Linked DNA regions of Anolis sagrei. The protein of the gene in region 1 interacts with the protein of each later gene in a biochemical or structural test. Links are inferred from orthologs where the notes say so. Each region holds a gene or a part of one and is shown on either strand. Other genes may lie near its edges. The genes, in order: TAL1 and LMO2.

Region 1 (15,301 bases):
ATTTTCAATCAAGTCTTAAATAAAGTGTAAGTAGTTATATGTGTCACTGTCATCTATTGCAGAGGTGTCAAACTTGTGGCCCTCCAGATGTTTGGGCCCCCAACTCCCAGAAGCCCTAACCAGCTTGTCCAATGGCCAAGAATTCTGGAAGCTGAAGTCCAAAACACCTGGAGGGCCACAGGTTTGGTACCACTGATCTATTGGGCCCCAAAGTTTTCAATTGAGGGTCCCATTTCAAGTTATTGTTCTACATCAGTGAAACCTTATCATCATCCTCACTTATACTTTCTTGAGTCCAGATCTAAATAGTATGTGGCTTGCCAAATGTTTTCCAGTTGTCCTCCATAAAGCCCAGTTTTGCTACCTAGTTGAGACTACAACAGAAAGGGCTGTAAAAAGTCTGTGTTCAGTTTGATGGAGCACGGGAGTGTATTATATAAAGTCCAGAAAGCTGCTATTTTGAGGTGGATGTTAACATCCCCATTTAGATGAAAACCAAGCTGAACACAGACCATCGGATGTCCAAAGAAACCTAAACTTCAAGGTAGATCCCCATGCCTCTAGCCAATGTGCCCTCATCTATATCTGCCAAAATTGGCCAGAATCTACTGGAAAATGTCTAAACTTCCACAGAAATACACCCTCTATTATTCCTAGAATCATAGAATCATAGAATTGGAAGAGACCTCATGGGCATCCAGTCCAACCCCCTGCCAAGAACCAGGAAAATTGCATTCAAAGTACCCCTGACAGATGACCATCCAGCCTCTGTTTAAAAGCTTCTAAAGAAGGAGCTTCCACCACACTGCTGAATGGCTCTCACAGTCAGGAAGTTCTTCCTAATGTTCACATGGACTCTCCTTTCTTGTAGTTTGAAGCAACTATTCCACGTCCTAGTCTCCTGCACAATCCTCCTATAAGTTGCCCCACCACCTTACTTAATTGAAAATGACTCATTTTCAATTATTTCATCCTTTCCATCCTAATAATTTAGAGAGTTGGGTGAGGGCAGAAAAAGCAGACGAATCCTAAAACTGAAAGTCTTGAAATCAAAACTTAATTAGAACCTCTACCAATTTGGCCTAATTCAACCCTAATCTATAAATAGCAACCTCTATAGAAAGATCTTGTGTCACTTCTATTTCTATTTCTATCTCTGTGGAAAAGCCATTGATTAAGTATGGTTCCTTATGACACCTCCTGGCAACTTACACCATTGGAATAATACTATGATAAAAACAATAAAAAGAATATATATATCCAATGAATGTCATAATGAGGATCTTTCTCAAAGAAGGATTGTTTATCAGTCGCTGTTTCACTTGGATGGCTATAACCTGGAAGTTGCTCTCACCTCAATCTGCTAGATCGTTAAGGGATGAGCTGGACACAGCTTCTTTGTCCTATTTTCCTCTCCTCTGCGACTCATTAGTCATTTTCTTATCTAGAGTTTAATACTGCTGGGCAGCTCCTCAGTTGCAGAAATTATGTACTAATAGCATCCACTGTTCTTTCTTGCAATCACCCCTCTACTCCATTTGTGAGTCTTTTCACACTAGATGATTATATTGGCATGATTTCTTTTTAACGGGCATGGCCCCATCCAATGGAATCCTGGATCTGTATAATTTGGTTGAGTCACTAGAGCTCTCTGGCTGAGAATAGTAAATATTTTCCTTAAACTATAAATCCCAGGATTTTACGGGATGTTGCCAGGATCATTACAGTGAAATCTCAACAATACAATTGTGTAGCGTGTAGAGATCTCCCATTGCAACAAGGAAATGAAAGAGATGAATTACAGGAGAAACCAAAGCCACCTCCTCCCAGTTTGGCACAAAATAGTATGGCAAGGTTGAAATCTTTACATCACAATCTGGCAAACCCTCTTGCACCTCCAACCCTGCCCCCAACAACCCACAGGCAACGCAGTTATGTTCTGATCTGCTTACAATATGTGCTTCACTTAAAGCTCCATTAAAGGAAATTTCATGACTAACATTACAAAAGTCACAAAGCACTAGATGACTATTGTCTTCTCTCTGTTTTCACAATCTTCATACTTAATCCTGAGCATGAACTGTATATACTTGAGTATAAGCCTAGAATTTCAGCACTTTTTTAGTCTGAAAAAGTCCCCCTCGGCTTATACTCGACTCAAGGTTATTTATTATTTCACTCTATTATTGTTGTTGTTGTTGTTGTTGTTGTTCATTCATTCAGTCGTCTCCGACTCTTCGTGACCTCATGGACCAGCCCACGCCAGAGCTCCCTGTTGGCCGTCACCACCCCCAGCTCCTTCAAGGTCAGTCCAATCACTTCAAGGATGCCATCCATCCATCTTGCCCTTGGTCGGCCCCTCTTCCTTTTGCCTTCCACTTTCCCCAGCATAATTGTCTTCTCTAGGCTTTGCTGTCTCCTCATGATGTGGCCAAAGTACTTCAACTTTGTCTCTAGTATCCTTCCCTCCAATGAGCAGTCAGGCTTTATTTCCTGGAGGATGGACTGGTTGGGTCTTCTCGCAGTCCAAGGCACTCTCAGAACTTTCCTCCAACACCACATTATTACATTTATTCTTTTAATTTATTGTTGTTGCTATTACATTTATTATTTTACTCTATTTATTATTGTTACTAGGCATCCCCTGCCACACGTTGCTGTGGCCCAGTCTGTGAATATGTGTTCTGTGTGTGTAAATATGTGTTTATATGTGGCTTTGCGCATGCATTGTAATGTATTTTTTTTGGCTTTTTAAGTCTCTTCCACTGTGATTTTCAGTGTTTTTATGAGTGATAGTCACTGCTTGGCCTGATAGCTGTATTGTGTCCATATTTGATGTCAATTCGTCCAGTGGTTTTTGAGTTATGTTAATCCCACAAACGAACATTACATTTTTATTTATATAGTTTGTTACATTTATTATTTTACTCTATTTATTACTATAATTATTACATTTCCATTATTTTACTCTATTATTGTTGTTGTTATTGCATTTATTATATGACTCTATCAAGCTCATTTACATTGAAAAAGGTTAGAATTATGGTTTAATCAGAGTTGGGCAGCCTTATCTTAAATTGCAGTTTTATGTAAATATTCAAAAAAATTAACCTATTGATGCCTCAATTAATGTAATTTTATTGGTATCTATTTTTATTTTGAAATTTACCAGCATTTCCCACCCTCAGCTTATACTCAAGTCAATGTATTTTCCCTTTTTTGTGGTAAATTTAGGTGCCTCTGCTTATATTTGGGTTGGCTTATCTTGAGTATATACGATACATAATCGTCCTTGTCTCCACTTCTGCTTTCCATCTTAAGACACACTAATAGCTAATTAGTACATACAAATGGCCAATCATTCTCCGCATATTGAAGAAAAATGGCAACAGTCATCCACACAACAAGGAGGGTTTGGAGTAACTCCAAAAATTGGTCAGTTATATTTTTAAATAATAAATGGATATTTTAATGAGAATTCTCAAAATGCAAGTAGTTTGAATCACCTGAGGAGAGGCTTAGAACTGGAGGAAGGGTAAAAGCGGACATTCTGGCTGACTACAACAAGAAGCTCCATGCTACAACAATTTCTGCAGGTCCCACTTGTAGGCTACTGCCTAAATTATTTCAATAATTTAGCAATAATGGGCAATGAACTGGCAGGTACAGTTATGATCCAAAAACCATCCTAACCCAATAGGAGGGGGGGGGGGAGAATTTCTCACCATCAGAGATCTCCACTTCATAGGGAGAAGGTCTTCTTTTCACTCGATTGTTGTACATTAGGTAGTTGTCTGGCTCTCCAAAAAAAACACTGTCAAAGAAAAAGCATAAAAACAACAAAATGAGTGAGGAAACCCAGGTGATCTAACTCAACAGACCAACACAAAAGTCTATGGGATGTTCTTCATTTAGTCCCTCCAAGAAACAACGCATATATGGAAAAGGCATGCCTGAGTGGACTGCATGAGGCAGGCATTTGCAATATGTGCACGCACAATGTAAATGCTCACACAGAGAGGCACAAAGAACCCGAACTGCAATTCTAAACTAAATTGTGAAGGTGCAATTTCATTGAAATCCATTCATCTTGTAACCCAAAGATTTTATGATTTAGATATCTTTAGTGCTGTTAAGGAATTCCTAAAGGAAGAATGAAGGCATAAATTGCAGCATTTTTAATTTAAAAAATACCACAGGGTTGTTTACCTGGCTAAAAGCATTTATTCCAAGACATTGGTGTCAAAGCATTGGCTAATCGTGCCAAAGTTGGCAAGGCCGTGGCTTTGCAAAGCTTTCAGGCACAACGTCAATGTTAATAGCCATAAAAACTACATGACATTCCTGTTGGTACCAAAAAATGGCATGGCATTTCTGCTACCATCCAAAATAAATGAAAACTTTTTTAAAAAAAAAAGAAGACCCTAAACAATAATTTAACCAATGATGACAACTTTGGGTTGCTGTGAGTTTTCCGGGCTCTTTGCTCATGTTCCAGAAGCATTATCTCCTGATGTTTCACACACATCTATGGCAGGCATTCTCAGAGGTTGTGTGGTCTGTTGGAAACTAGGCAAATGGGGTTTATACATCTGTGGAATATGAACAGATTTATAAACCCCACATAAAAAACAGAGTGAACACTCACTGTAGTTTCTGGAAATATTTATTTTCTCCCTAATTCTGATCTACTCCACCAGTAATGTATGTATGTATATATGTATGTATGTAAATGTGTATGTGTGTATCTCTGTGTGCGAAGGGAGGGAGGGAGGGAGGGAGAGAACAAGCAATATCTGTGTTACTACAAGCAATTTGTTATTACTACACCAGGACAAATCATTCATATTATCTGAAGGTACAAAAATGCTTTACCATTTTTCTAAGATACACATTTCCAAAATGAGCAACAAAGGAGTCCCCTTGCGGAGAGAGGGTGGTCTATAAATAAAGTTACTATTTATTTATTTATTTATTTATTTATTTATTTATTTATTATTTGCCTTATTTATACCCTGCCTTTCTCTACCCCAAGGGGGACTCAAGGCAGCTTACATATGGCAATTATTCAATGTCTTAACATATACAAACAGTAAATTTAAAATCAATTGAATTAAAATTAATGCATATATTGTTATTGTAATCGTTATTATTATTATTATTATTATTATTATTATTATGTTTTTAAAGATCTGCCTGGGAAGGTGGCTTGGTTTCTTTTCTTTCTTTTTATGCTATAAAGGATGACAACATAGATAGCTGCCTGCTTTTAGCTTTTGTCACTTCACCTGGCTTTGCCCTATTTTCTGCAAAAAAAAAAAAAAACTATTCCCTTTTGGCAGTTCGCTACCAAGAGGAGAAGGGTTTTTTTTTTTTCTGGGAAGGCCTGCTCTTCCTTTCATGCAACAGTGTTCCTGGGGCTCATTCCAACGGTGCTTGTATATCAGCCATCATAAGGAGAACAACCACAACCACAACCACAACAATAAAAGTTGTAACTGAGACCATGCAATGACAAGACAAGAAGGCACTGGGTTTAGACTTGTAGTACTGAAAAAAGGATACAAAAAGAAAGGGCCAAAGGAATCAGAATGGAAAAGAGAGAGAGAACAGAAGCAGGAGAATTAAGCTACAAAGGAAAGGGAAAGGACTAAAGATGGAAGAACTAAACAACATTGGAAAGGGAAGGGAAGGGAAGGGAAGGGAAGGGAAAGGGAAAGGGAAAGGGAAAGGGAAAGGGAAAGGGAAAGGGAAAGGGAAAGGGAAAGGGAAAGGGATCATAAAGGAAAGGAAAGAAGAAGGAAAAGGGGAAGGGGAGGGGGAGGGGAACAGAAAGGAAAGGAAAGGAAAGGTAGAGGACAAAATTGGAAAAAAAGGCAAGGAGAGGAAGAAATCGTTCGGACAAAAGACAAGACAACTATGCAAAATTGAGAAGGAAAAGACAAGAGAGAAAAGGAAATGCCTAAGACAGGAGAGGCCGGCTAAGCAAACTGGGAAGGGAAAGGAATGGGGATAAAAGATGAGACAACTAAGCAAAATTGTCAAGAAAAATACGAGAGCAATGGAAAGGAAAATAAAAGGAAAGGAAGAGGAAGAAAGGTCAAGAAGAAGGAAGAAACGGGTAAGAGAGAAGGCAAGACAACTAAGCCAAACTGGAAAGGCAAAGAGAGGAAAAGACAAGAAGAGAAATGAAGAAGATGGGAGGTGGAAGAACTAAAGAAAATTGGAAAGAAAAATAGAGGAAAGAAATGGATATGACATAAGACGGGACCACTAAACAAAAATGGGAAAGAAATTGAGAGCAGGGAAAGGAAAGGAAATGGAAATGGAAAAGGAAAAGGAAAAGGAAAGGAAGAATACAGGTAGAAATGCGCTAAATTGAGGAGGGGGAAAGGAAAGGAAGACAAAAGGTAGGAAAACTAAGCCAAACTGAAAAGAAAAATACAGAAAAGGAAAAAGACAGAAAGTGGGACGACTATGAAATTGGAAAGGGAAGGATACAAAAGAAAGGAAGGGAAAGGAAAGGAAAGGAAGAATACAGGTGGGACAACTGCGCTAAATTGAAAAGGGAAAAAAGGAAAGGAAGACAAAAGGTAGGGTAACTAAGCAAAACTGGAAAGAAAAATAAAGGAAAGGAAGAAGCCTTTCCTACTGCGAAATGGGAAAAAGAAGGGAGGAAAGGAAAGAGAAAAGGGGGCAGAAGACATGAGAGAGACAAAACGAAACTGGAGAAAAGAAAAGGGGTAGGACTCGACGGAAAAGGTGTCCTGGTCTCATAAGGAAAGCCCAGCGGCTCAGTCGGAGAGCGAGCGAGCATACGGCCAAGCGCAGGGGCAAAGGCTGGGCCGCTCCCCCTCCTCCTCCTCCTCCTCCTCCCTCCCCAAAGAGGGCCCGCCGGGGGATCGGGCTGCCCGGCTGGGAGGGCTTTGGGGACGGACCTGCTGGCGTTGGCGTTGTCGTTGGCGGCGTTGGCGGCGGGGGCGGCGGGGCCGAGGGGGGCTCCGAGCCCGTAAAGCATGGTCCGCGGGGGCGGCTGGAGCGGGAGGGCGGGCGCGGGGCTGAGCTGCACCATGCGGGCGTCGCTGCTGCTGCTGCTGCCGAGGTTCCCTCCTCCTCCTCCTCCTGCTGCTGCTGCTGCTGCTGCTGCTGCGTCGGGGGGCGTCCCGTTCCCGTTGCCGAGGGCGAGGGCCAAGGCGGGCGCGGTGTGGGGGCGGTCCGGGTCTGCTGCGGTCCGGGCGAGAATGGCGCCTCCGGCCGGGCCCCGGGCGGCTTTTATGGCTCGCCCTCCGCGCACCAGCTCGATCACGGGCACCGGGGCGGCGGGGGGGCCGGCGGCGGGGGAGGGGGGCGGCCGGCCCGTCTCCTTGGCAACCCCATTCAGCGGCGCCGGCTCCCCCGAGGGGGGGAGGAGGAGGAGGAGGGAGGACATCCCCCCGCCCCCGCCCTTGACGCCCCCCACGCCGCCCCCGCCGCCGCCGCCGCCGCCGCCGCTGCTGCTGCTGCCGGAGCCCAAGCCCACGTCCGGCTCGCCCAGGCCCTCGGCTCCAGCGCCGGCTCCGTGGGGCGCTGCATCCCGCGGCGGGTCACTGGGGGGCCTCTCCATCAGCATCCTGGGGAGACAGACAGAGGCGCAGAGTAGAGCGGGAGGCCGGCAGAGGAGGAAGAAGGCGCAGGGAGACGGAGGGAGGAAGAAGGGAGGATGGAAAAGAGGCGGAGGGAGAGGGAGAGGAGCCAGGAGGAGGAAACCTCACGGAAGGAAGGAAGGAAGGAAGGAAGGGGGGCCGGGAGGGAGGGAGGGGGGAGAAGGAAGCAGCCGCAAGAGGAGGAGAGGGAAAGTTAAAGCCAAAGGGGAGACGCGCAGAAGAAGCAGGGGAGGAGGAGGAGGAACACAAGACCAGTCAGCGCTTCAAACTGGGAGGGACGGGAATCTCCCACAAAGGACGCCTCCGTGCTCCGTGGTTGGTGCCATCGTCATCCGGGTCTCAAACTGGTTCAGGATTTCCGCACACCGAAACCACGTTCTTCCACGCCGGTTTGAAACTGCAGTCAATGGTCAGTGTAGAGGGGACGGGGACAAAGTTAAAGCCAAAGGGATGCACTTCTTTGGGCCGGGGGCTTAAGGCGGGGAGGGGAGGAGAAGGCCCTCGAGGCGGAGAGCGCAGGAAGGGCAGCCGGACTGAGAGCCGAGTGGGAGGAAGCCATCCCGGCCTGGCCCGGAAAGAAAGCCTTGTGCGTGAAAGAAGAGGCCTGGGGTTTGCGTGGAGGGACGAGCCCTTGGCTTCTTCCCCTCCGTCTCCCCCCTAGCACTCCTTTCACTCGGGGCCCTTCCACACAGCCCTAAAGCCCAGAATATCAAGGCTAAAAATCCCACAATAACTGCTTTGAACTGGGCTATCCGATAAAGTGGGTTTTCCTGCCTTGATATTCTGGGATATAGAGCAGTGTGGAAGGGCCCTCAGATAACCCACTTCAAAGCAGATATTGTGGGATTTCCTGCCTTGATATTTTGGGATATAGGTCTCTGCAGAAGGGCCCTCAGACATCCTCCACTACAGCCTGGAAGAATGGACAGCCATCACACCGCCTGGTTGGGTTTTCTTTGGAGTACATCCCAAGCCTTCCAAATTGGATGAACCTATTGATTTAATTGGGGCATTCATTCATTTCTAATATTTCTGTATCTTTCCTGGGCCAGAAGCGGGTGGGCGATGCTGATGTGGCTCTGGGTGTTTTGTGGCGGCAGAAGAAAATAAAGCATCCCCAGAGTCCATCTTTGGGGGGAAAGAGGAGGACGAGGAGGAAGATTGACAGCTGCCACTCCTACAGTCTTTCCAACCAACGTCGGTGTTAGAGATCACCAGGGACGCTCGGAATTATCCTTAAGATGTGGGAGAGGCCTTGACATTACTTACTTAGGCGATCCCTCGTTGTCCGAGTAGGATTGTCTTCTAAGATCAGTGTACTGGTGGTGGGTCCGTAGGTGACTGTGGAGCCCTATTCTTGATCTGCATGTTCTCCCACAGTGAGGGCATTGGCTTCCAGGTGGAAGGCCGTCTTGGCAAGTGTCTCTCTTTCGCCTTCCATTCGTGCCTCTTCAAATTCTACAGCACTGCTGGTCACACCTGACCTCCAGCTGGAGCGCTTAAGGGCCAGAGCTTCCCAGTTCTTGACATTAGCAGCCTCTTGTGTATGTATATATTACAAAATTTAAAAAATTCCAAATACATTGTATAAAACTATCATCGTGTTCTCATCTGACCGAAGTTGGTAACAATGGGGGTGCTATGAATATAATACCAAATGAATGACCACACAATCATCAGAGGGGCAGATGCATAGGAGTCTCGGTAGTCGAACTTGGCCTGCTTTTACTCCGAGGGAGGGATTGGAGCCCCTTCTTCCAGGCTCCATAGCAGGCCTGGGCCAACTCGGGCCCTCCCCCCAGGTGTTTTGGATTCCAACTCCCACCATTAACAGCCTCAGGCCCTTTCCTTTCCCCCCTCAGCCGCTTAAAGGGGCCTGAGGCTGTTAGGAATAGTGGGAGTTGGAGTCCAAAACACCTGGAGGGAGGGCCCAAGTTGGCCCAGGCTTGAGCTAGAATGATAATGCTTTCTCGAGCGAGAAATAATATAGCAGTCAGAACAACCAAAAGCGTTGAAGCGCAAACACTCCAGCTCGCCATTCTTAAGCTATTCGTTTTCTAAATGTACACAACTCCTGCCGTCACACATAGAGTATCTCGAAATGTTAAGACATCATTTTCTAGGCTCGATCTGGAGTTTCGAGGTCTAGATGACAGGAGAATCAATCGCGCAGACGAATCGGAAATCAGTGGCTCCCTTTTGATCCAAGATTACCCCATCCACCCCCACCCTCTTTTCCCTTTTTTCTTCCAAGGAATTGTGTTCGAGGAAGAAGGGAATCGATGGGAATTCGCCAGTTTAGCTCAGGGTTTTGCTCCTGGGATGCGCCACCCCGTCGGGAGGAAATTGGTTTGCTCCCATCCCATGGCAGGTCAATGAGAGATGGAGTCTCCCCTTCCAAGTGTGTTTCGGATTGCAGCTTTCGGCGGCCCTGTGGAGAAACGTTCCCATTTTAAAACCCTGCCATATAAACCCTCCAGAAAGAGGCGCCTTTGGAAGCAATTTACACTGAGCCGGATTGGCGAAGAGGCCGAAAGAAACCCTCACTGCAAATCGCTTCAGTGCAACGTAATTATTTCCGTGGGGTTTTTCTCCGCTGAGCTGCGGGTTGTTAATTTCACGCCTCGCTTCTAAATCCAGACAGCGCTTCGCTCCGCCGTGGAGAAAAAGGGAAGAGAGAGAGAAAATACAGAAAGGGAGAAAGATACTGGAGGACTGAACTCAGAAATCCCGGGACCATCGCCTTGGGGCCTTTCCGGAAGAAGCGAAATGACCCGGGGCGACTCCTTGAGAGTCAATCTGCATCTACACTGTAGAAAAACGCAGTTTGATATCACTTGAATGGTCCTTTTGCAAGGGCATTAGCCTTTTCACCTCTGCCAGAGAGCTCTGGAGTCCCCGGTGGCGCAGTGGGTTAAACCCTTGTGCGGGCAGGACTGAAGACTGACAGGTCGCAGGTTCGAATCTGGGGAGAGTGCAGATGAGCTCTCTCTGTCAGCTCCAGCTCCCCATGGGGGGACATGAGAGAACCCTCCCACAAGGATGGTAAAACATCAAAAACATCCAGGCGCCCTTGCAGACGGTCAATTCTCTCACACCAGAAGCGACTTTCAGTTTCTCAAGTCGCTCCAGACACACACACAAAATCCCCAAACTATAAATCCCAGGGTTCCAAAGCATTGAGCCAGGGCAGGTCAAGTGCATTCATTCTACAATGTAGATGAGATTTACTTATCAAAGCAGAAATCCACATTATCTGCTTTGAACTGGATTATATGAGTCTACGCTTCCATATAATTCAGTTCAAAGCAGATGATCTGGATTTTATATAGCAGTGTAGAAGGGGCCTAAGCTCTGTTGAACTGAATGGGCCTGACTTTGGGCTTCCTACAACATTGCTGTCTTTTCTATTCATCTGCAAACTTGAGACTTCAAAAAGACAGAGGTCAGTGCCTAAGGTGCCCCATCTATCACACAATGTTGTTTTTTGTGCGCCTTGCAATCGTTTCTGACCGAAGGCAAACATATCACAGGGTTTTCTTAGCAAGATTAGTTCAGAAGACATTGGCTTGCCATTGCTTTTCCCTGAGAACCAGAGAGTGTGACTTGCCCAAAGTCACCCAATGGGTTTCATAATGTTACAGCAAAGAAGCACGAATTTGAGAGAAGACAGATACCTTTGGAAGCTCCATAAAAAGATGCCCATCAAGAGTGAACACCTTGGGAGCAGGGAGAACCACACAAGTCACATGACACTGACAGAGCACTGTGATTCCATTTGAGCTGCCATGGTTCTGGAAACTGCAATTTAGGGAAAGGCTATTTGCAACTCTTAGCTACAGAATCCTCTACTACAGGGGCGTCAGACTCATCTTCATCAAGGGCCATATCAGCCTTATAATTCCCTCCAAAGTACCATTAAATCCATGTAGGGAGAATCCATGGATACAGAGGACCAACTATCTATCTATCTATCTATCTATCTATATCAGTAGGTAACTTCCTCTTTAAAGGTATTTTATTGCCCTGGCTTCTTGGCCACGTGGTCATTCTCCGAGAAAGGGCCCTCAGAGACAGACAACTCAAGTTAAAAAAAAAAAAACCCTTTCTCTGTGGTTGGCTCAACTAATTACTCTTACTGAATCAATGGGATTTATTCATATGCTGGCTCACTTCAGCCAGTAGGTCTGCTCTAACCAGGAGTGGCCAAGTCTTCAAAGGTTAAAATGACTATCTCAGGGCCCCTCTACACAGCCCTATATCCCAAAATATCAAAGCAGAAAATCCCACAACGTGTGCTCTGAACTGGGTTATCTGAGTCCACACCCAGATAAAGTGGGATTTTTTTGCCTTGATATTATAGGATATAGGGCTGTGTGGAAGTCCCTCAAGCTTCAAGGATTGTGCAAAGATTGCCATCTTATGCACACTTATCATTCATTTTCAATAAAAAAAAATGTTAAAATGTGTCCATTTAAAAGGTTTTAAAGCATGCTTAGGCTCTTTGTTTTTAAGGGGAAATTTCTATCTCTTAGAGATAATATAAAAACAGTGGGTTGGTCTACCACAATCTAGATGTGGATGTGATTTTGATCCCTGAAATACTTGATTCGAAACCCAGAACACACTTCAAAGTCAGGGGTTTCCCAGCTACAGCAAGCCCTGCCTAAACCTTACCATGTTGCAACAATCCCACTTGTTGGCTAGGCTTTTGGCCACATTTCAAAGTGCTGTTATCACCTATTTAAAAAAAAACCCCAATGTGGTTTAGGTGATGATAATCTGACAGATCCTATCTCTCCAAATGAGCCTGTCCTTGTTTTGAGACTTTCTAGGGGAGGTCATTCCCTGCCTCTCCTCCCCATATGGGTACATCTCAATGGGAAATGAACAGGGTCTTTTCAATTACAATTGATCATCTTGATTAGCCTTGCAGCTTCAAAGTTTGGCTGGTTGCTGCCTGGGGGAAATCCTTTGTTGGGAGGTGATTAGCTGGCCCTGATTGTTTCTTGTCTGGAATTCCCCCGTTTTCTCAGTGTTGTTCTTTTATTTACTGTCCTGATTTCAGAGTTTTTATAATACTAGTAGCCAGATCTTGTTCATTTTCATGGTTTCCTCCTTTCTGTTGAAATTGTCCACGTGCTTGTGGATTTCAATGGCTTCTCTGTATAGTCTGACATCATAGGAAGCAGCCAAGCTTTGAAACTGCAAGGCTATTCAATACAAATCAAGGTGATCAATTGCAACATTCACACTTGTCTCAAGCAGACAAGAGTTCTTTCTCCCACCCTGGACATTCCCCAGATATATAAACCCCACTTGCCTAGTTTCCAACAGACCTCACAACCTCTGAGGATGCCTGCCATAGATGTGGGTGAAACGTCAGGAGGGAATGCTTCTGGAACATGGCCATACAGCACAGAAAGCTCACAGCAACCCAATGCCTTGTTTGTTTACCGTTCCTGAACATTGCAATCCTGGAAAGCATTTCCAACAGTCAATTGTAAGTAAAGCAGGTCGTTTGGATGATGCCCCCTTGTCCCCAAGGGCCTTATGGGGAAAATATGATCTCTGAGGCCATTTACAAAGGGGCCACAAGGCAAATGAGTCCAGTATCGCTCAAATATCCCAACTTCGCATCTCGGTGTCGGAGCTGAAAAAGTCCTGCAGAAGAGGGGATCGTTATGTGTCTTTTCCAATGGTGTTAGAGTAGTTTTTCACTATTCCCCTCTTTGTCTAAACACCCATTTTTGCGGCCTTTCTCCTTGTCTCTTTGTCCTTCCCCTCTGCTGTTGCTCCCTTTTTGTGGTTTATGGGTGGAGTCTGGGATGTGTAGGGTCCTAAATTTAGCAAGAAATCTCCAATCTTTGGAGATTAGGGCGCGAGTATTGCAAAGTGTGTTGGCGATTCACACATCAAACAAAACCCTGAGTGGAAGCTTTGGAGGAACGTGGCTGCGTTTGGGGGCTTCCGGAAGCCGAGTGACTAGAGAAAAAAATCCACTTAAAATCCGGTTTCTGCCTCCTGCAGAATTCTGGGGTTTGTACTTTAGTGAGGCTGGTAAAGTCTCCTCCCTAAACTACAAACCCCAGAATTCTGCAGGAGGCAGAAACCGGATTATAAGTGGATTTTTTTTCTCTAGTCTGATAAAAGGTGGCTAAAATCGAGGTAAATACGTTCACTGGGGTAGGCAGCCACATTCAAACCCAGTATTAACAAGGGATGTAGGAATCCTACCCGGCCTGCCAAGATAAGCATCGCTCTCTCGCCTGATGTCTCTGTCTGGCTTTATTTCTCGTCTTAGAATCGCTCTCCTGAAGATAGAATCCAACCATTCTCTCCTAAAGCGCCATTTAAATTGGAAATGTCAGCACATTCATCAATTAGAAAATTAATTCCAGCACATTCATCAATTAGAGGATTAATTTTTAATGCGCGCGCAATCACACACCTTCTTGGACCCAATCAGAAACGACAGGTTGGGCTTGGGGTGACTCTCCAGTTTTTCAACAGGATTTGCCATCAATCGCAAAGAGGGGGGTATTATTCATCCCTGGAATCGTCTATTCCAGATACATAGTGCTAGCAAAACCACCTCTGGGTATTATTAGCCTCATCACGCTACAGAAAAAAATCAACTTAAAATCCAGTTTTTTCCTCCTGCAGAATTCTGGGGTTTGTAGTTTAGGGAGGAGCCTTTAACAGCCTCATTAAACTACAAACCCCAGAATTCTGCAGGAGGCAGAAACCGGATTTTAAGTAGATTTCTTCTCTAGTGTGATGAAGTGGATAGAATCATAGAGTTGGAAAAGTCCTCATGGGCCATCCAGTCCAACCCCCTGCCAAAAAGGAATTCAAAACACCCCTGAGAGATGACTATCCAGCCTCTGCTTAAAAGCCTCCAAAGAAAGAGTCTCCGCCACACTCTGGGACAGAGAGTTCCACTGCTGAACACCTCTCGCAGATAGAAAGTTCTTCCTAATGTTCAGGTGGAATCTCCTTTCTTACAGTTTGAAGCCATTGTTCTACATCCTAGTCTCCAGGGCAGCAGAGAACAAGCTTGCTCCCTCCTCCCTATGACTTCCCCTCCCATATTTTATACATGGTTATCATGTCTCCTCTCAGCCTTCTCTTCTGCAGGCTAAACTTGCCCAGCTCTTTAAGCCACTCTTCAAGGGGCTTGTTCTCCAGACCCTTGATCATTTTAGCCGCCCTCCTCTGGACACATTCCAGCTTGTTAACATCTCCCTCAAACTGCGGTGCCCAGAATTGGACACAGAATTCCAGGTGAGATCTGACCAAGGCAGAATAGACGGGTAGTATGACTTCCCTGGATCTAGATCAGTGTTTCTCAACCTGGGAGCCGGGATCCCTGGGGGGTCACGAAGGGATGTCAGAGGGGTCACCGAAGTCCATCAGACAACACAGTATCCTCACTACCTCTGAGGATGCTTGCCATAGATGCAGGCGAAACGTCAGGAGAAATGCCTCTAGAACATGGCCCTATAGCCCGAAAAAACCCACAAGAACCTACAGTATTTTATGTTGGTCATATGGGGGTTCTGTGCGGAAAGTTTGGCCCAATTCTATCATTGGTAGGGTTCAGAATGCTCCTTGGTTGTAGGTGAACTACAGATCCCAGCAACTGCAGCTCCCAA
Region 2 (15,136 bases), on another chromosome or scaffold:
CTGAAAGCATGACTCTTTAAACAGGCCCTCAACCATGATTAGTATGTTAATTGTTAAACTCGAGGACCTGGTGATTTGTTTCACTTTGGCACTTTATGGGATTGATACTTGAATACAGCCTATTTTATATCCACAGCGTTTTATGGAATTTTAAATCAATAAGGGTTTATATGATGTTTTATGTAAAATTATTGTGAAACTTATATTGTCATTGTTTTAAATGCTTATGTATTTATGTGTGTTGCACTTCTGAGTGCTTTTGTGAGCCTCCCCAAGTCCCTTCAGGGAGGTGGTGGTGGGAATAAAGATTATTATTATTATTATTATTATTATTATTATTAATGTGCCATTGGATGTAATGCACACCACAATTTTCAAAACCCTGAAACCTATATATATATATATATATATATATATATATATAGGACAGTAGATGTATGTAGCATTTTAGAGGAACATTGACTGGAACGGTGATTTGACTGATGAGACTGTTTTATTGTTTTAATGCTTGTTGATGTATTGTTTAAATAGTGATTTATGTTTAATTGTGGTTTTACTATTGTAATTGTTTGTATTGGCATCATATAGGTGCCCAATATAAGGCATTGAATCTTGCCATTATTTATGTGTAAACCGTTTTGAGTCCCCCCAGGGGTGAAAAAGGCGGTATATAAATACTGCAAATAAATAAATAATATATGTATGTGTGTGTGTGTGTGTGTGTATACATGTGGCAAAAAATGTGCTCTTTGTAATTTGGCCAAAAAAATGTGTTCATTACTATTGTTGTTGCCTGCTTAGAATTCCTTTATTATAAACAATTGTGTTAGAACACCAAAGTTTCCAGCAATGGAAATGAAAACCTTGCGGTGCATCTATGCTGTAGAATGAATCCACTTTAATTGCCTTGGTTCAAATTCTGTGGGACCTTGTGGGCTGTAGTTTTACAAGGTCTTGAGCCTTCTCTGCCAAAGAATGTTGATGCCTCACCAGACTACAAATCCCAGGATCACATAACATTGAGCCCTGGCCTTTCATTAGAGATGACAGCCCTCAAAGAGGAGGTCCAGGTGCACCTCCTGAATCAGCTTCCCCCTTTTCCGTGGCTCAGCACTCGGATTACCGTATTACACAAATCTAATATGCACCCCAGTTTTGGCAAGGTAATTTAGCCAAAAAAGAAAAAAGAAAAAGATGAGCATTAGATTCAAGTTAATACAATAATAACAGCTGAGGTAAGGTTGCATTAATCTGGAGAAATACTTAAGCATTATAGCTCTCCAGTGTGTATCACCTCAAAAATACATGACAGAATTCCAAGATAAAGAAAAAGGATTAAACTACTCCAAATCATATTATATAAAGTTTGCCAAGATTAACTGATTTTTTTAGGAAAAACCACAGCGCTTCTGTCTTTCAACACATGCAAGATAATTATGTTTAGCAGACGGATCAGATTCAATCCCATAGAAGAAAAATCTCCAACCTAAACTCATAACTATATAATAATGGAAATGAGCAGGTGAAAAGTTCTGCCCTTTAGAGTTGCTGTATAGTCTAGTTTTGTCTATCACCAAAGACAAAACAATAAATATATATGAACAATAAAAGTAAAATCTATCGCCATTTCCTCCTGAGCAGGACCAAACCAAAATCCACCAAACACAGGAATCCATCCCACAGTTTTAAAGCATTGCTATCACTTCTCCAGCTGACAGTTAAGTCAAACAGAACATTTATTTCCCCCACCTGCCACCTCTTGACATGAAATATTCATTATACTTTAAAATCTGTAGGAATGAGAAAAGCATTTTCTCAGGTAATGAAACCAAAATGCAGACATCCCCCAGGCATATATAAATAGCTAAGGAACAGAAAAAGGTGTAGAATTCTCTGAGAGCAAATCTATCTTTATCAAGTTTGAAGTACACTCCCAGTTTCTTCAGACTCGAACGGTCTGGGTTTGTGCAGCAGTTTTACACCATAATAATCAGGATATTAAAAAAAATTAAATTCCCATAATATTGTGTTTGCTTTCAGGAATGACATCTGCACCGTTAGTCATTAGATGTATGTAGTGCAACAGAAGTATCACACTTAATGGCAATCCAATGTATGGACCACTCTACTCAGGAACTGGGGTATAAAGACTCATTCCCCAAAGAGTGAAAAGTAACAAAATTTGAAAGGGAAAAAAAACAGTGTTATTCCTGTTTAATTGTGCAGTAATTACTTTGGAAGTAGTTGTTATACTCTGGAAACTTTGTTTTTGTGGCTGCCACTAGCTATGTTGAATTGATTGAAACTCAAGGAGATATTCATTGAAAAACTATAGCAACATAGGCTGCAGGATGTCCTGCAAAAGCAAAGTGTTGACAATTTAATAAACTTTTTCCATGTTTTTAAGATATAACCAATTAGGAAGTGACATTTATAACCCAGGAACAAAAATCATGTTACAAAGTGTTATGGGATATGAAAACTGATGTATTACGGAAAACAGGAACAATTGTCACAAGTCCATAATATTTTGTCCCTATATTATCTATATTTGAAAACTTGTTCCAACAACTGATCCCAATCACGTGCACTCTAGCATACTTTCAGTATAGAATCTGTGTCTCAAAAAGATTGGGACAAGGATCGAAGGCTTTCTAAGATACGTCTGTCCCAACATGTAGGTTTCTTTTGTTTCAATACACAGCCTACTTTTTCCTCAGGCCATGTGGGAATCATTGTCAGATTAAAAACAAAGCACATTAAATACAATGGCAGTCCCCAAATTCCATTCATGGGAGGAGAACCGCCCTGTGTCCCCCAGGGGAGATAGGGCAGGTTACAAATAAAGTATTATTATTATTATAGAAGCAGGACATAGAACAAATATATAAATGCAAAGTTTAAAGTTAGGACATATATACCATTTATTTGTTTATATCTTGTATTTCTTCTGATACAAGGGCTGATAGTGTATAGACAATTTCCACTGCTTATAATATTGAGAAGGAACTAGTAAAATTAATAAAATGCTACCATCATAAACAGAGTCGTGTGAATCTTAGTCACTAGCTCAACAGGATTTAATCCCTATGTACAATATATAGAAGGTTTGTTTCCATAAAACCCAAATTCAGTTATATCATAAGTAATGCCTTAAGTATAATATCTCTACAGATATAAAATGGTATGTGCCTATATTACTTTGGTAGGACTGTAGCAATGAGCCATGGCATTCAAAGTAGTGTTTAACTGCATTAATTCTACAGAGTAGATGCACCCAAGGCATGTTAAAGGTTACATTTAATTGCAAGCCTCACTAAACATTATATCAATTATCTCTAAGTAAAATATGGATAGTAAAGGTAAAGGTTTCCTCTTGACATTAAGTCTAGTCATGTCCAACTCTGGGGGGTGGTGCTCATCTTCATTTCTAAGCCGCAGAGCTGGCATTGTCTGTAGACACCTCTAAGGGCAATGACTCCATAGAGCACTGTTACCTTCCCACTGGAGCAGTACTTATTGATCTGTTCACATTTGCATGTTGCCAAACTGCTACGCTGGCAGAAGCTGGAGCTAACAGCAGGAGCTCACCCAATGGTTGGCATGACGGCTGGAGTGCCGTTACCTTCCTACAGAAGTGACACCTATTGATCTACTCATATTTACATGTTTCCTAACTGCTAGGTTGGCAGAATCTGTGGCTACTGCTCACCCCATCCGTGGATTCAAACCGCCGACCTTCTGATCAGCAATTTCTGTAGCTTAGTGGTTTAACCAACTGCGCCACCATGGCCCCAAGTCATTTCTTCCCAAAGTAAAATTAAACTTAAAAGTCTTTAATATTTTCTGCCAAAAAGTCCTAGCACCTCATCAAAATACAACTCCTAGGATCCCATAGCAATGGACCATGGCAGTCAAAGTAGTTTTCAACTGCATTAATTCCACAGTGTATAGCTCTTGTTGTGGCTGATGCACAGAGGCACTTGTGATCAAGGTTTTGTTGTGACCCGATGCTCGCATTATGAATTTTATTAAGCTAACCTTAAGAAATGGGACTACAAAGGAGTCCACAACATCCGAGTGCGGAGAAGAGCAAACCACAGACCACCTACTACAGTACAACCTGAGCCCTGCCACATGCACAATGGAGGACCTTCTCCCAGCGACACCAGAGGCCAGCTTCTGGTCAAAGGACAGTTAGCATAATGCCAAGTTTTAAAACTTTGTGTTTTTAAATACATTGTAACTGTACCCTCAACTCGCTTCTGACACAATAAATAAATAAATTATGAAAAAGTGGATGTTGACCCTACATCTGATCATCTGATAGCATCCTTTTAGTCAAGTCAGCCTATTAAATTGGGCTGGGAAGGAGGAAAAAGAGCCTGAAAACAAATTCTAGTGTTTGGAAAGTACTATGATCTGCTTCCTCACCTCCATCCACATAAATCACTTCCATAATTTTGTTGAAGGCTTTCATGACCAGAATCACTGGGTTGCTGTAAGTTTTTGAGGCTGTATGGCCATGTTCCAGAAGCATTCTCTCCTGACATTTCAACTGCATTTATGGCAGGCATCCTCAGAGGTTGTAAGACCTCTCAACCTCTGAGAATGCCTGCCACAGATGCAGGCGAAACGTCGGGAGAGAACTCTTCTGGAACATGATCATACCACAGCAACCCAGCACTTCCATAATGATCAGTGTGGGCACATCTTTACTATAGTACTAATGCCATTTGACAGTACCTGAACTGCCATGGCTCAAGGCTATGCACTCCTGAGATTTGTAGTCAGGTGAGGCACCAACACTCTTTGGGCTGAAAAGGCAAAAGACCTTGTAAAACAACAACTCCCAAGATCCCATCACACTGAGCCATGGCAGTTAAAATAGTGGCAAAGTGCATGGATTCTACACTCTAGGTACATCCTGAATCTCTCAACCAAGGCAGCGGATGACAGTGAAGGGAAAGGAGAGCCATTGACCCAAATGTCTTCTTCTTCCTTGTCCCCACTTTTTCTCTCATCGGGGAACCCATAAGACATCAAAAGACTTTTGCTTCCTATTGAACCAGCACCAGAATAACTATAGCTGCAAATCTCTCTTTGCTTTTGCCAGTATGCCTTTTTTGCATCAAAAGGGCCTAAATGCCATACAAAGTCACCACATTCACACTGATCTTCGGCTCAAAAGGGTCAGGCCCAGTTAGGACTTGGAGGGGAAACTAAGGGAAACTTGGAGGGGAAACTTGGAGGGGAAACTAAGGAATTCCAGGTGCTGCAGGCTATATTCCAGAGGGAGGAAGAATATGCCTTGCCTAAGAAAACCCTATAAGGTTGTTGTAAGTTTTTAGGCTGTGTCGCCCTGTTCCAGAAGCATTCTCTCCTGACGTTTCGCCTGCATCTATGGCAGGCATCCTCAGAGGTTGTGAGACTTCACATTCTCTGAGGATGCCTGCCATAGATAGCATTCAGAAGAGAATGCTTCTGGAACATGGCTATAGTAATGGTAAAGGTTTTCCCCTGACATTAAGTCTAATCCTGTCTGATTCTGGGGGTTGGTGCCCATCTCCATTTCTAAGCTGAAGAGCTGGCATTGTTCATAGACACCTCCAAGGTCATGTGGCCGGCATGACTGCATGGAGCACCCATGGAGCTGGAGCGGTACCTATTGATCTACTCATATTTGCATGTTTTCGAACTGCTAAGTTGGCAGAAGCTGGGACTAACAGCGGGAGCTCACTCCGGTCCTCGGATTCGAACCTGCGACCTGTCAGCAAGTTCAGCAGCTCAGCGCTTTAACCCATAGAGCCCAAAAAACTTACAACAACCCAGCAATTCCAGCCAGGAAAGCCTTCGAAAATGCATAAAACCCTATAGGGTCGCCCTAAGGTGACAGGTAACTTGACGGGACACACATATATATCCACACTGGAAGTCCTCTTTGCGGTCCTCGCTTTCCCTTAACCACTCCATTTCCCTTTTCCCTGAACTCTAAAGTTGTAACTTACCGCAATCGTAGGCATTTGGGGACTGAAGGAAAGAGGGGAAAGGGGGTCCGAATGCGTCCTTCTCTTTGCTCCCTTCCCTAGCTGCACTTGGCAAGCCCAGTCGCCAAAGGAGGACCCCAAAACCGGGGATCTAGGCAGGACAAGGGCGGACCTCCCCCTGGAGAAGATGGGATTTCTCTCCCAAAGTAGGACTCCCCAAAGTATGCCCAGATCCCCGAGAAAAAGGGAAAGGCGAGGGGGAAGGAAGGAAAGAAGGAAGGCAGGAGGGAAAGGCCACTTACTCGGAGGGCTCGAGGCTTTTCCTTTCGATGGCCGAGGACATTGGCAGCTCTGGCTCGGGGTCACCCCACCCGCGACCACATCCACGGGGCTCCCTTCGGGAAAGGGAGAAAGAAGAGGAAGGATACAGGCAGGCAGACCAAAGGAGCCCGGGGCGTGGGGAGGCGGCCTTTCGGGGAGAGACCCTTCTTCCCGGGAGCCCGGCGGGCTTTCAGCTTCCCATCCTGGCCAGGCGCTTGGTCCTTGCCGCGCTTCGATCCCGGGATGAATCCTCCTCTCTTTCTCTCTCTTTCCCTTGCTGCTTTAGGCAGCGCTCAGCATCCCTTGCTGCTCCTCCTTCTCCGCCGCCACCACCATCAGCAGCAGGACAGCGGCTCCTCCTTCATCTATTTCTTCCTCTTCTTCTTCTTGCTGGTCCCACTTCTGAAGCTCTTCTCTCTGTGTCTGTGTCTTTCCTTCTCTCTCTCTCTCTGTCTCTCTCTCTCCCTCCCTCCCTCCGAGCCGCTCTGCTTTCACATCCTCTTTCCTGATCACGACTCCAATACAATAGAAGGAAATGACATTTTAAAGAGACAGCTGTCTATTTCTTCTTCCCTGGCCCCCCACCCCTCCCTTCCCCCGGGAATAATTGCAGCCGACGCATCTCTCACGACGACCGAGGCGGGCGCCTTAAAGGGCCAGAGCTCGCCTTTCCCTGCCCTGGCCGCGCAGGGTGGTTGCATCTCGTTATTTAGGACTCATATTTTACTTGATAGTATGGGTAACCGCTGGACTCAAGGGCCGCAGACCTTTGCTAAGGAGGAAAGAAAGCGGGCTTTCTGGGGAGGGAAGCGAGGCCGGGCTCTCCAAGAGGCAAGCGGGGCACAGGGAAAGTTGTCTTCTGCCCAGGGACAGCATACACATCTCTACACAGGTAGAATCGGTTTTAGGGGCCGGGTTGCGTTTATTATCAGATAGGACTTTCATCAAAATAGGATTGTAATGTCTCTTCTCTCTGCCCAAATAATTATTGTCTTCCTCCTTGGCTAGTCATTAAGCCATTTGCACATTGTCCTTTCTACTTGTTAAGCAGTGACAAACACTTTACCTGTCCAAAGGTGTCTCTCCCTATGAACCATCAAGGACTTTAAGATCATCTGGGGAGGCCCTGCTCTCGGTCCCGCCACCATCGCAGTCGCATTTGGTGGGGACAAGAGACAGGGCCTTCTCCATGGTGGCCCCTCGGTTGTGGAACTCCCTTCCTAAAGAAGTTAGATCTGCCCCCTCCCTGACTTTTCACAAGACACTTAAAACTTGGCTGTGGAACCAGGAATAGTTAGTAAAGTTTTTTTTAATCGCAATTTCTTCCTTTAATACCATCTTCCCTTTGTCTACTTTTAATAGATCTTTGTAGGTGGGCCACTTTTGCCAGCCTAATTCTCATCTTTGAAAGGCTTCTAGGGGTGACAGCCACGTTGGAGTTTTGGTATAAAATTTCAATTTATATTTCTCTATGGTATTGGCCGGGGATGGACAATGGATTATGGGACTTGCAGTACCTTTGCTCAATTCCTGAGACCACTGCAACCATCATCCAATTACCGACAAAGACCAAACTTGGCAAACTGAGTCTCCATGACGCACTCTACATCCTGCTGTGGTTTGGAGGAGGATGCACCATGGACGATGGGACTTGCAATACATGCACTTCCTTCCTGAGACCATTACAACTGCCAACAATGATAGATCAGGATGACAATTTACACAGAGAGCCCGCATGACCCACTCTACATCCTGGTGCAGTTTGGAAAAATTTGGAAATGGATGATGGGACTTGCAGTAACTTCACTTACTTCTTGAGACCACTGAGACCCTCGCCAATGACTGATCAAGACCAAACTTGGCACACAGAGCCCCCATGACCCACTCTACATCCTGGTGCACTTTCAAGGAGGACAGTCCATGGATGATGGGACTTCAAGTACCTCCACTCCCTTCCCAAGACTGCTGCAACCCTCATCTAATGACCAATCAAGACCAAACTTGGCACACAGAGCCCCCTTGACCTACCCTACATACCAGTGCTGTTTGAAGGAGAATGGACGATGGATGATAGGACTTGTAGTACCTTCACTCACTTCCTGAAACCACAGCGACACTCATCCAAATACCAATAAAGACCAAACTTGGAACAGAGATCCCCCATGGCCAACTCAATATTCTGGTGAGGTTTGGGGGAGAACAGACTATGGGTGATGGGACTTCAAGTACCTCCACTCACTTCCCAAGACTTCTGCAACAGTCATCTAATGACCAATCAAGACCAAACTTGGCACACAGAGCCCCTATGACCCACTCTCCATCCTGAAGCAGTTTGGAGGAGGATGGACCAGAGATGATGGGACTTACAGTACCTTCACCAACTTCCTGAGACCATTGCGAGCCATATAAATAACTGAGAAAGACCAACCTTGATACACAATTCCTTTCTCAAATAACCCTGGGCAGCGCTGGGTCCCCAAGCTAGTATTAATCATATTAGTCATTATTAGTAGGACATTATTTTTTAATACTGGCAGCCAGATTTTGAAGCAGCCAGGTTTTGAGCCTGCAGGGCCATTAAGTGCTAATCAAGGTGGTCAATTGCAACATTCACACCTGTCTCAAGCAAACAAGAATTAGATTATATTAGTCACTATTAGATATTATTATATACACATATATATTTATTATATGTATATGTATGCATATATCTGTGTGAGTATGTGTATATATACACATATGCACCCATGTATACATATGCATATATGTATATGCATATATATGATTAATAGTATCTAATATATACACTAATGTCTAATAATGACTAATAGAGTCTGATATGAGTGTAGACGTATATGACTGATAGCTAATATCTGAGAATGACATTCATGTGGATACAGATGAAGGCTTGAGCAGGCACATAAAAGCCAGTAATGGAAAGAAACCGCTATCTCATCATCTTTTCCAGCCTCTCCCTCGCTCCCTTCTTCACCTCTCCCCTCCAGCGAGGCAGGAGGATAATTCACACCGTGGAGCGAGATCTGCTTCGTGGTGGAAATCCCCTTAGAAGTGCAGTGACAGCAGTGCCAGGCTGGAGGTGCGCCTGTCTCTCAAGTACAGGCGGGGACAGGGAATTAACTGCTCCAGTGGCTCCTGGATAAGTTACAGCTACTTAAGCAAAGGGAAGCAGGAGATCAAAACCCACTCGAATGTTGGTGACATGTACCATTCCCCTTGCAGATATGTCCTCCCCAATATGTAATGCAGCAGGTGGTGATGAAAATTTAGCGCATTTCTAATTGGGTTGTTGTAGGTTTTTTCGGGCTATATGGCCATGTTCTAGAGGCATTCTCTCCTGACATTTCGCCTGCATCTATGGCAAGCATCCTCGGAGGTAGTGAGGTCTGTTGGAGCTAGGAAAATGGGTTTATATATCTGTGGAATCATTTCTAATTGCCTAATTTTAAAACTGTATCTGTCTTTCAGCTTCTGTCCAAACTCTAGGGGAATCTCAGGGCAAAGTGTCAGGGCCTCCTCCAAAAGGCATTGGTGCCAAGTGGACAAAGACCCTTCATGGCATGGGCTATAAAGGGAATTAGGTTTAGCCTGCCTTCCTGGTGCCCTTTTCAAAATGCAGGTCACTAGTCACACTTTCAGAACAGTAACTTCCTTCCAGGCTTGTAGCCGGGGTGGAGGGGGGTGTAGGGGTTCAACCCCCCCCCCCTGAAATTTTTCAAGTTAAAAAAAACACCTGGTTTACTCATGAATTTTAACTGGTTAACCAAATCCTAATGCTAAGTCTATGAGATGCAAAAAATTAAGAGTCCCTCCAGAACTGCAAGCACTATCTCAAGCAAATATTGACAATTTATTCACACTGTCATTACTTGCAGCAATAGCCGATGTAGCGAAGCAACCAAGTTGGGGGGGGGGGGCTGAATGCCAGACTTGGTGGAGGTGGTTGACAGGGGCAGAGCTGCAGGCTATGGAAGGCTGCTCTGCCCCCTGCTGTGCTCTTTGCTTCAGCGTGACCCTAACCCCCCCCCCCCATGAAATTTTCAACCCTCCCTGAAATTTTCAACCCTCCCCAAAATATTTTTCTGGCTACGGCCCTGCTTCCTTCTGACCCGGAAGCTCTTCCTATTCAACTTTGATTATATCTCCAATGGATAATCTTTGGAGAAGGAAGGGACCATTCAAATGCATTCAGATTTGCTGTCACCAATATTACACAAATATCGATATCTGGTTTCTGGATGTCTGACTGATTGCTCTATGCATGGGTTACAATTTGACCAATTGCTAAGATCTAACTACATAGCACTCTTACAATAATATAGTGTGTGTGTTTTGGAGTCTTCCCCCCCAAAACATACACACGTTGTCTCACGTAAACAGAGAATTCATAGTTATTGGAGGGGGGGGGGGATATTACCCAAAACAAAGCCTCCTCCGCTGACCGCAGTGTGTGAGGTGGTCTATATAGGGAGATGTGGTTAGACAAATAGCCTAGCCCCGAACCATTTATAAACCAAACTCCTTCTGGACAAATATATCCAAGAAAGAAAGAAAGAAAGAAAGAAAGAAAGAAAGAAAGAAAGAAAGATATATATATATATATATATATATATATATATATATATATAAACTGGGTGTGTTTAGCTGGGTTGAAAGAATTGGGCATATTCATCTTGGTGGAGTGAAGACTGAGGGATAATGTGCTTGCATTTCTGAAATACCTCTATGGCTGACACAAAGAAGAAGCAGGTCTGTTCTTTGCTGCCCAAGACTTTAGGACCAAGTCTCATGGTATGAAGTTACAAGAGGGAAGATTTCAATTTAACATTAGAAAGAACATCTCAGCAGTGACAGCAGTTCAGAAAGAGAACCAATCGCCTAGAGATGCAATGAGCTTTCCTTCTCTTGATGTCTTCAAGAAGAGGACAGCTACCTGCTGAGGGTGCCACAGCTAGACATTGAACATCATGTCTCTCGGCAATGGATGTTTCAACAATGTCTAAAATTTAACATCTCAAGACGAAACAACTTATTGTCCTCCAAAACCATCCTTGGAATGTATATTCAATGTCCCTCTTTAACCTTTGAAGAAAGCACATATCGAAACCATGGTCTTGGTTTTATTTTTGACTCTTTTATGTCCTTTCTTTCTCACACTGAGTAAGGGGTCAAACCTGATGGCCCACAGGGCGCCTTCCAATGTTTTTTTTAATATATTTTTTATGATTTTATGATTCAATCCTCAAGTTTTTCTTAAGGAGAAGATGGATGCTGCCATGCCATTCCCACCAAGGACTACTTTTCATAAGACATAGTTGGAATGTGGCTTACAGCCTTTGTGTCCCAAAAGCCAAAGGTAGGAAGTCAAAGTCAAACAAATTATACCTTCAGATTCAGAATATGCAAATATACATTCTATTTCCCATCTTATTTTATCTGAGCCCCTTCGGGGTGAGAAGGGCGGCATATAAATGTCGTAAATAAATAAATCTCTGTATGTACAAAAAGGTGTTATTTGATAGAGCATATCTATTTGGGTTTTTAAAATTGCTTTTATTATAAAATTCAAGTGGCTATATATAGAAAAGAAGAACGTTATCATTTACAGCATGGCTTCTTGTTATTGACTAATGCATGTACCACTAATAAAAGAATTCAAACAAGTCAAATAAGCTAACTGACAGACAAAAACAGAAGAGCACATTCATATTGTTAATATATAAATGAGAGCCTTATCCCACTACCTGCTTTGGTTACTACTCTTGTGGAGTAACCATGCATCCTAAAACTGCAAAGGAGGCACTGCCTAGGTGAGACTGTGAGTAGTCGATGCTGTTTGGAGTGTACAATGCCAGTGAAAGGCCTCTAGCATCTCAGGCATTTCTAATAGCGGCCCAAAGCCACACTTTTACCTCTCTTGCCATGCCAATCACTGCATCACACCTGAGAAGTAACAGTAATGCTGGGCCTGCTCCTGTACCAATGATTAATAAGGCTGGTTGTTTTGAGCAGTGGAGAGAGCTTGAAAAGCTTTATACAACACTGAGCATGGAGTATAGGACTTGTCACTATATAATAGATTAGAGTGCTAAGAGAGACAATTTACTGTCTGAAAGTTACTTTTTTGGCCACAACCCCCCACTGTTTACAATACACATGTATGTCAGAGTTTCTCAACCTGGGATACAGGACCCCTAGTGGGGTCACAAGGGGGGTGTCAGAGGGGTTGACAAAGACCATCAGAAAACACAGTATTTTCCTTTGGTCATGGGGGTTGTGTGGGAAGTTTGGCCCAATTCTATCATTGGTGGGGTTCAGAATGCTCTTTGATGGTAGGTGAACTATAAATCCCAGCAACGACAACTCCCAAATGTCAAGGTCTATTTTCCTCAAACTCCATCAGTGTTCACATTTGGGTATATTGAGTATTCATGCCAAGTTTGGTCCAGATCCATCATTGTTTGAGTCCACAGTGCTCTCTGGATGTAGGTGAAGTACAACTCCAAATTCAAGGTCAATGCCCACTAAACCCTTTCAGTATTTTCTGTTGGTCATAGGATTTCTGTGTGCCAAGTTTGGTTCAATTCCATTGTTGGTGGAGTTCAGAATGCTCCTTCATTGTAGGTTAGCTATAAATCCCAAAAAATACAACTTCCAAATGACAAAATCAACCCCCCGCAACCCCACCAGTTTTCAAATTTGGGCATATCGGGTATTTGTGCCTTCATCCAGTGAATGAATATACATCCTGCATATCAGATATGTACATTACAATTCACAATAGTAGCAAAATTACTATTGTGAAGTACCAACAAAAATAATTTTATGTTTGGAGGTCACCACAACATGAGGAATTGTATTAAGAGGTCGCGGCATTAGGAAGGTTGAGAACCACTGATGTACATTATCATAACTTGTACTGATGAGTAAGTGGGGCAATCTTTGTGTTTTCCCTGTAAACACACCTACAACCATTCTGAACCACTGATATGGATTTCCATGATATGCAGCTAAATGTGCAAACATTTCAGATAACTGCATTTACATACAAATGCAATATGTTGCAAGAAAGATGGTTGCTGCTGTAATCCCTGAGTGATAAACATCATGTGGCCTCAGATATCAAACCCAGGAAAATTGTCTAATAAATCTAGAAATCATATAACTGGTATCCAAAACAGAAGCAGAGATTATCTATGCAGACATTTTGTAAGCTTTAGAATACTCTTGATTAATTTTCATAAGTCTTTCAGTACTACAAAATTCAATATGGAGGTTCTTACCTTCCGCTATATTTTTTGTCACATGAAAATATCCACATTGTACTTTCTCCCTTTTGATTTATAAAGAGCTCTCTCAATGTTTATGCTTTTCATTTCATACATGTGATGCTATGCTGCAAACGAGAGAGGAAAATACTGCAGAACGGTGAAGTATCAAATATTCAAAAATTTGGAGAATGTACTTATGTTAGCTAGTTAAACCAATAGTAATGTAGGAGGTATTGCATAAAGACAAATGTCATGGAAGCTCTGTGACACAAAAACACAGCTTAGTTTCATGTGGCGGGTGGAGTATTAAAATACATTGCATTAGTAGGAACCCTCTGAAGATGTATATAAAGGGTTCTGAAGCCAGAAGGGTGTATCCTTTATTCAAGGGTGTATGTATTTCAAGCCACAATCAAACAACAGTTTTCTAAGTGGAATTTCCATTCATATCTAAAATAAGCTCTTTCCTGAAGCTTTCAGTAGTTGCACACAATGTCAGCTCCTAAAGGATAAAAGAACAGGAAGCAAAATAAACATTTTACTGACATGGATTAACTGATTACTCTTTTCAAGTGGAGAAAAAAAAGAGACTACCGTGTAAGCTTGGTTTCCAGAAATAAACTTTCGCTTCTTGCTTTGAATGTGTAAGTAATAACTTTCCATGTGTACTTTTCTCTTTTCATAAGATCTCTCTTTTTGTTCATGAATATGACACTGAATTCTACTTTCTCACCATGAGTAATTAACTACTTGCTCCCTCTTTTCTTTACAACATCTATAGTTCCTTTTGTCCTGCAGGAAGAGGGTGCATAATTACAATGAGATCTGTAGTAAAGGTAAAGGTTTCCCCCTGACATTAAGTCCAGTCGTGTCCGACTCCGGGGGTTGGTGCTCATCTCCATTTCTAAGCAGAAGAGTCGGCATTGTCCATAGACACCTCCAAGGTCATTTATTTATTTATAATTTATTTCGTGTACTTCTACCCCGCCCTTCTCAACCCCCGAGGGGGGACTCAGGGCAGCTTACAAAAAGGCACATCTTGGTGCCCACACAAATACAATAACATATAAAAACAGCAATTAAATGGTCAACAATTAAAACAATTAAAACAACAATATATCTCACAATCGATAGCCAATCTCAGACACAGCGTTCGCCAACTCAGAGTCCATATTTTGTTCCACATTGTCCATTCCTATCCGTCGTCACAGTCCTTTATTCATCTGCCAGATTGCCCAAACGCCTGGTCCCACATCCATGTTTTTAATTTCTTTCTGAAGGAAAGGAGGGATGTTGCTGATATAATTTCCCCGGGGAGTGAATTCCATAGGTGAGGAGCCACCACTGAGAAGGCCCTGCTCCTTGTCCCCACCAATCCCACTTGTGACAGAGGCGGGGCCGAGAGCAGGGCCTCCCCAGAGGATCTCAAACTCCGAGGTGGGACGTAAAGGGAGATGCGTTCGGACAGATACGCTGGGCCGGAACCGTGTAGGGTTTTGTAGGTCAAAACCAGCACTTTGAATTGTGCTCGGAACTGGA

The links.
Region 2: the proteins of TAL1 (region 1) and LMO2 form a complex in vitro, tested with the Homo sapiens proteins (2 studies listed by BioGRID). The link is inferred for Anolis sagrei from reciprocal best matches to the Homo sapiens genes TAL1 and LMO2.

What each region holds. Positions count from the first base shown.
Region 1 is NC_090024.1:177,398,663-177,413,963, reverse strand, and holds the start of TAL1 (T-cell acute lymphocytic leukemia protein 1), read right to left. Parts: upstream 7,762-15,301; 5' UTR 7,610-7,761; coding exon 6,939-7,609; intron 3,815-6,938; coding exon 3,726-3,814; intron 1-3,725. UniProt on the Homo sapiens protein: Implicated in the genesis of hemopoietic malignancies. It may play an important role in hemopoietic differentiation. Serves as a positive regulator of erythroid differentiation.
Region 2 is NC_090021.1:268,075,843-268,090,978, forward strand, and holds the start of LMO2 (rhombotin-2), read right to left. Parts: upstream 6,891-15,136; 5' UTR 6,331-6,890; coding exon 6,290-6,330; intron 1-6,289. UniProt on the Homo sapiens protein: Acts with TAL1/SCL to regulate red blood cell development. Also acts with LDB1 to maintain erythroid precursors in an immature state.